Linked DNA regions of Schizosaccharomyces pombe. The protein of the gene in region 1 interacts with the protein of each later gene in a biochemical or structural test. Each region holds a gene or a part of one and is shown on either strand. Other genes may lie near its edges.

Evidence for each region.
Region 2: the proteins of psc3 (region 1) and mis4 form a complex in vitro, tested with the Schizosaccharomyces pombe proteins (one study listed by BioGRID).

Annotation. Positions count from the first base shown.
Region 1 is NC_003424.3:2,034,660-2,038,416, forward strand, and holds the start of psc3 (mitotic cohesin complex non-SMC subunit Psc3), read left to right. Parts: upstream 1-1,635; 5' UTR 1,636-1,743; coding exon 1,744-2,008; intron 2,009-2,053; coding exon 2,054-2,166; intron 2,167-2,204; coding exon 2,205-2,300; intron 2,301-2,348; coding exon 2,349-2,758; intron 2,759-2,808; coding exon 2,809-3,757. Other genes in the region: WD repeat protein Cdt2, read right to left, coding at 1-991.
Region 2 is NC_003424.3:395,207-398,963, reverse strand, and holds the start of mis4 (adherin Mis4), read left to right. Parts: upstream 1-2,024; 5' UTR 2,025-2,074; coding exon 2,075-2,183; exon of another isoform or gene 2,184-2,222; coding exon 2,223-2,418; intron 2,419-2,461; coding exon 2,462-3,757. Other genes in the region: ATP synthase complex assembly protein atp25, read right to left, coding at 1-1,255. UniProt on the Schizosaccharomyces pombe protein: Plays a structural role in chromatin. Chromatid cohesion molecule required for equal sister chromatid separation in anaphase. May form a stable link between chromatids in S phase that is split rather than removed in anaphase.

The DNA.
Region 1 (3,757 bases):
TAGCAGCAGGTAAAGGTCGGACGGTATGTACAGTTCGTAAATCCCATAACTTTAAGGCCGAGTTTGCAGAGCAGGACGATATAACTTGCGAAGTAGATTGAGGGAGCCACGTAGCTGAGGTAATTGAGCAATCCCTTCCCGAATTTTCATGTGCTTTTCTTATCCTTAACACTGGTTTCTGAAAATGCTCACCGTCAATTGTTATCCCGTGTGTTCGCATATCCCAAAAGATAATGGAACCATCCCGAGAACAACTTACCAAATTATAAGGAGAATCATTGCAAAAATTAACCTGCTTTACTGAATGAGAGTGGTATCCATCGACACCTCGTCGTCCCAATCGAGTGATGCATTGTTGCGTTGACAAATCAAATACCTTTGATGTTTGATCGCCAGATGAAGTAGCTAATAATGAATCATCTTTAGAGAAATTAACACTAAATATAGCATTGTTGTGAGCAAGCCAGCCATGGATTCTTCGAGCAGACGGCTGATTTTCCTCATTCTGTCTATCGTAAAATCGAGAATCAAACAGCTCAAGAGCTCCAGTCTCAGTACATACGGCCAATAAAGACTCGTTATTAGCAAATCCAAGACAGAACGGGAGTTGGTTCAGCATCATTAAGCATTCCGAAGGTCGTGAGTAATATGTTTCGAGATTGAGTCTACCTCCCACATGACGAGAAGTTTTTGTGCTAAAAGGGTGCGACCGGGAACCTCCCAGTTGTCTGATTAAAAGTTCTTTACAAAGTTGAGCAGGTTTTTTTTGAATATGAACTGGCTTGTGTAACAGGGGTTTCTTTTCAAACACAATGCGTTTTCGAGGTGTTTCAATTTTTCCTCGGCTTTCTAGGAAGTCGTAAAGCTTATGTTTTTTGGAAGGTGCTGCGGGAGAAGAATCAGGAGTCGGAGGTAATGAGTTATTTGCACGTGAGGTAATATCTCGAAGCCCACCAACATCACTCAAAGCTTTTCCAATGTCCATATTCATGGTATAATCATGAATCTTAATTTAATCCGCTTTTGAGGTCGTGTGTTCCAGTTTAATTTAAGTAGTGGATGGTAGCGTGAGTATATTAGATTTTCGTGACGCGTGAACGCGACGCGTCCGTGATCCATCACATGCACCAAACGTTACCCAGAATATGTTAAAGTAACAAAACGCGTATTTCAAAGTCATGTTTAAGCATATTTGCAATTACAGATGGGTACAGCCTAAAATTCTTGAGGAATAAATAAAAAGGATAAAAGTTTTCTAATTACTTGTTAATTTTTCATAAAGGATGACTTTCGTATTTCTGCCTATGATATAATGAGCGCTCGAAAAGTTGTCAAATATCTCATTTATTAATAATAATCGAAAATATTACGCGTCAAAAGAATCTTTCACTCACAATTCTATACTTGTATAGTCAAATTACAATCTCAACTCGCGGAGTGAATATAAGTTAGCTGTTCACCTTGCAGGACCCAAAAGAAAATAGTATATATTTGTTTCAATCAAGGTAAAGAAAATTTTAATGTAATAACTTCGTTAAGTATAAATTTCCTTTCGTATCCTTGGATTTTCAAACACATTTATCCTGTCTAACACTATTGAACAAGACAAGTTCGTGCTTTTATCAACTACAGGTTGTGAACAACCTCCATTGTACAACACCAATAGTGCATTCATTACACTCTTTCCAATATTTCTAATTACACCTCTTAATTTATTTATAAATTATTTCTTTTTTTCTTCAAATGAGTGAGTCTGTTACTACTGGATCTGATGATGATGGAGGAGACAGAGAATCTTCCCCTGTAATGCTTTCTCAAAGTTTTGATCCCATGAGCAGTAGTTCAAATTCATCTTCTGAAGAAAATAGCGATGATGATTACGAGAAAACGATAAGCTCAAAAAAACGGCATCCACGGCCAAATTCTAAAGGAGTAAATGTAAAACGCTCTAGGAGGAACGCTATAGTTGAAGAGGATCCTCAAGAAGAAATTTTTAACAACTTATTTGGTAATGATAAAGTCCTTCTTTTTTTCAGCTACTAACACTGAAAAGCTTTTCTGCTTGACCAAAAAGTTGATACCATGGACATCGCGGTTTCGTGGTTTGCTGACTATGCAAAAGATAATCAATCTGCCCTTGCAAATCTTATTAACTTTATTTTAAAGGTAGAGTCATTCTTTTCTTTCTTTACTAAATATTTTAGTGCTGTGGTTGCAATCGTGCCATTAATGTGTTTGATGTTCAGGATCAAGATTCTGCTTCAGCTACTCTATCTCAAATTCAACTTTCTGTAGAGCGTGTAAGTGCTTTTGCGAAAATACTTTATTTGTATATTAACAACTTTAAGACTTCTACTCGTGATTATCCTTTAAATTCAAAAAATCTTAAGTTTAGGAATTTCAGAAAGAGATTGACCGGTCTTTTAAGCAACTTTGTGTCACAGTTGTCAATAAGAAATTACTTGTACAATAGCACTGTTTTTGAAGATATTATGTCTTGGGTCGTTGCCATGTCTTCTTCTACGATGAGACCTATTCGGCACACCGCCACTGTTTTCTGTTTGAATATTATGACTTTTTTATGTGAAAAATCTAAAGAACTATTGAACGAGCATGCAATTGCTACCAAACAGCTCGAGAAAGAAGAAAAGCGCTCTCGTGTAAATAGAAATCGCATCAACGAACTTAATAACAGTCTTGGTGAAATAGTCAAGCAACAAGATACATTGACTACATACTTAAATGACTACTTTGATAGGTAAAGATCCCTCAAACGCTTTAATTTATTTATACTAACCTTTATATTAGTGTCTTCGTCCATCGATATCGAGACGTGGAGCCTAAAATAAGGGTAGATTGCTTACAAGAGCTTGGGGTCTGGATTAATACTGTTCCAAGCATATTTTTTTCAGGAAGTTATTTAAGATACCTAGGATGGATGCTTTCAGACATAAACACTACCGTCAGATTAACTGTAGTTAAAGTTTTGCGCAAATTTTTTGAGACAGATTCATTTATTGGTGGATTAAGACATTTTTCTTCTAGATTTAAAGAAAGAATACTCGAGATGAGTTGTGTGGACGCCGATATTGGAGTTCGTGTAGCCAGCATTCGTTTGTGTAACGCTATGAGGACTTGCGGATTTTTAGAAAATTCTGAAATTTTAAAAGTGCTGAAGCTAATTTTAGATATCAATCCAAGGGTGCAACGTGAAGCCGTACTGTTTTTATGCAAAGTGGTTGACGAAAGTGTGAATGAAAAAATTGATTTATGGGGTGAAGAAGACTATATTCTAAAGGCCTTTTCTCAGACTTCACTTACTACATTTTCAGTTCATTGGATAAAATTTTCCCAAATGTGTAAACTTTTGGAGGAGGTTAGATTGTCTTACCAATCGAGCTTTGATTATGATACATTATTACGAATCTTCCAAAAAAATGGTAATTTCATTACTCCTATAACACAAGCTTTACTTAATGCATGTGAAATTGATTCAATCTATCAGTCATGGGAGGATATTAGCAACTTCGTACTTTTTGATAATTATACCTCGACTCTAAAAGATCCGATAGACAGTATACTTTCTTTCTGCAAGCTAAATGATTTTCAGGAATCTATTCTTTTACAGCTTCTCTCTGCTTCAATCCAAACTGTCTGTAATAACAATTTTATCACACCTAAAACGGTGCATAATAAGCAAGCGGCGGAAACGACCAACGATCAAAATAAAGATAAGGACTTACTTTATTTGAATCTT
Region 2 (3,757 bases), 1.6 Mb from region 1:
TCCTTTCCAAAAGAAATATGCGGTTGTCGAGAAAGAAGTTTGACTCCCCTTTAACCATACAAGAGCATATCATAAATTTTAAAAAAAGTAGTTTTAGTGAAAATGAATCGATGGTTTTTAGATCGACTAAAGATTTATACATTAGTGAAAGATACAACATCCGCTCACTAACCAAATTTTTAGAGTGTTTAGAAGCCATACTCAACTTTGTTGGAGACAAAGCTATAGTACTGAAAAGCGTATTGATATCCTTTGTAGTCAGTTGCAAAGAAGAATCTTTTCGAAGTCGCTCAAAAATTGAAAGAGTAAAATCCAAAGAAAAATTATTAGGATTTTGGAGATGCATTTTCTTATATTTTTCCAAAGTACTCGTCAGATTTTGTGAATTGACGTTTAACAAGATATCCTGGGTATCGCAATAAAGGGATGCGGCACTTTTTAAAGAAAAGTTACAAGTATGGAAACTTCTCCGAAATACGTTCGAGTGGTTATTAATAAAATTTGGAGGTAAAGAATTATCAGGTGTAGATTTACTAGTGAGTGAGACCCTAGATTGTTTGCCATGTTCGAGATCAGAATACAAAGTTTCATCCTTAACATGTTCAATATTGTCCAGTTTATAGTATTCCCTAAAATTTTTTGTAATTACATGAATGCTTATGCCGAAGTTTTCGATACTGAGACATGTCCAATTATTTTCAGACGTGTTTAATTGTCGGTTTGACAAATTGGAACGTTTCCTCATTCTCCGTTCTAAAATTTTTCTCCGAGATGCACTAGTAAGGCCATCTACGTTCACCGGTCCAACGTTTTTTTGTTTTAAAAGGCGAAGTAAGCCATTAGTAGCGGATACAACTTCAGATCCACAGTTGCAAGAAGCTAGTAAAATAAGATCTGAATCACACCAAAAAGAATCGGCGGGTGAGTTAACAAAACTGAGATCAGTGGCATAATACTTCTTTTTAAGAAGGTTTAACACATCAGCTAAAAAGTTTGGAGCACCTTTTGGAATAGGTGGCAGCGCAACCGCATCGAAATGCGCTTTTTTAGGAAATAGATTATGTTTTTCATCCACATACCATGGTTTTTTGCTTGAGACTTCCTCTGGTTGCGAATTAGCGTCATTACTTGAATTATCAGGAACTAAATTTTCAGGAAACTTTTGAGAAGCGAAAGGTCGTTTGTCAAATTTGCTTCGAAAAAAGGAAACACATAGTTTGTTGAAACGTAGATAATTAAAGCGATATGTGGGCATTTTTTAATAAAATATGAAATCTCAGCACAGTCATTAAAAATATAAGAATTAATATAATTGAAGTGTTACCTTATAAAGCCGAAAAAAGAATTTCTCAATGCTGTTCTATCACAGTATAACATGAAGACATTGTCTTCTGTTTGAATAGTAATAGATAAAACTTAGATTAAAGCAACAAAAATATTTAGTATGTTTTAAAACAAGACCGCAAATTATTAGGAGAAAACCAAATATTTAATGACCTTGGCACGTTTTCCTAACCAAGAGACCGATTCTAAATAGTGTTCCACTGTAGAAATACGTAATCACCAATATCCGAAATGTACGAACGTTTCTTATGTCAGCAATACTACATTACGCTATGATACACTACGTTGCGTATCACTATATGTCACATGTTCTAATTATATATCGTACCATTTATGATACGATATGGAAATTAATCTTAATGATAATCTATTAAGATCTATATTATCTGAATACTATAAATAGAGCTACTGCTGAACTCGTTCCTCAGTTCAGTTATGAGCTATATTAGTGATAGGTAACATTATAACCCAGTTAATACAATACCTATACTCAGTTGCTACTTATACAACCTGTGTATTGTAATATAATAGATCACAAGGAAAACTCACCGCAGTTCTACGTATCCTTAAATCAGATACCAAACTGCGTAGCTTACATCTTAATTGCATTTTCCCGTTTCGGTCTATTGCCTTAAACTTGTTTACGCTTTATATATACCGACGTTTCTTTGTTTTTAGATGAATGAATTTAATGATAAATACTTCCCTTTCTTAGCTTTGCAATGTTTTGATGCTTTTCGAGATGACACCTGAAACCTTTAAAAAAGTTAACTCCTCTAATCGAATTATTAAAGGGCTTCAATACACACCATTAGCATCATCAATCCCATTGGAAAATGGTATGCATACAGTTTGAACGCGTCTATTAATTTACATAGGTTTACAAAACGTATTATATCCATCTTCTAAATTTCAAAATGAGCCATTGCAACTTAACTCCGAAGAATCAAGTATTATGCAAAGATATGTGGATATGCTAAATCCTGGCGCAACATTCGTTAACGATTCTGAAACCTTTAATTTTTATAAAAATGCTCTTAGCGCTATGATAACGGAACCTGCAATGCCCGCAATGTAAGTTAAATTTTTTGAGGTTTTTTATCTGACAAATATAAAGGAGGGTGAATGCCAGTCCGGTCCTAGACCAAAAGGTGTGTAACAGTGACTCGTTAAGTGAATTAAATGATTTTACAAAATCTCTGATTCAGCCAAGTATGTTGATGTGTGAACCCAAGGAGAAACCTGATGCTTCTTCTATAAATACAAACCGTTCATCTTCCGACAATGGCTTCTTAACTCCGTCTTCAAGTCCTCGAAGTCCATCATGTTCTCGCGTATTTAACGCTGTTCAATTATGTAGCCCTAAAAAATCTAAAGATGATATTACTACCCCAAAAAAGCGACTTATGGAAGACACTTATTCGCCTCGTGAATCTCCCTCAAAGATCCAGCGGTTGCAGGACGTTTTGTTAAAGCAGTTGCAAGATACCAGATTACTAATTTCTCAAGTTATAGAAGCTGAGAATTCGGAAGATTTTTCATCGAATTCTCTCTTTATTAAACGAGAAGACGATGATGGAAAACACATTTCATCGCACGCAATTGAAAAGCTATATATGGCATTAACCAAGCTTAGTCGTTTGGGAGCTTGTGACAAATTGCTGGAAGAAGGGAGTATAATACTTGTAAAACAAATCCTTGAGAAAGAGTTAAAAGAGCTTCCTGTCGCTTGTTACAGTATAATTAATCTTCATGACAGCCTCACACAATTTCCGAATTTAGACTTTATTTTAAAGACCACTGCTCTTGTTCTTTTTATAATATTTCTGGTCCCCTCCTTTAAAAAGCTTCAAAATGAAGAATCAATTCTTCATTTACTTAATATCTTACATTCCATATTTGAGTACACAGTTCCTGAAGCGATTGATAACATCGTTCAATCAAAAACTTCCGATGCTAGGACTTCTGAAATTCAACATCTATCAGTTTTGTTACAAAAAGTCGCAAATGTATTAAACATCTTATCTAAAGTTGCCCATGAAATTCCCTTGTCGGAAGCTGTGGTCATACGCATTGTATATTTATTTCCCAAAGTCTCTACACTCGACAATTCCTTCAAAACTAAACTTCCTAACTGTAACAGCTCATCCTTCGATTTTCTTAAAGCTCCTTTATTTCAAACGTTACAATATTTATTTCGTCTTTATCCTTATCAGCGAGATTTTATCATTGAAGAATCACTTACAAATTTTTCTCACTTGCCCACTGCTCGTTCGGTCTCAAGGACCTATAGACTCTCTAACGGTAAATCCATACAATACTATTCAACCCTATTTGTACGTTTAATTCAGTCATGCTCCATTCAAAACTTATTCGACTCAGAAATTGTACAATCGGAGAGCAAATCCACTGA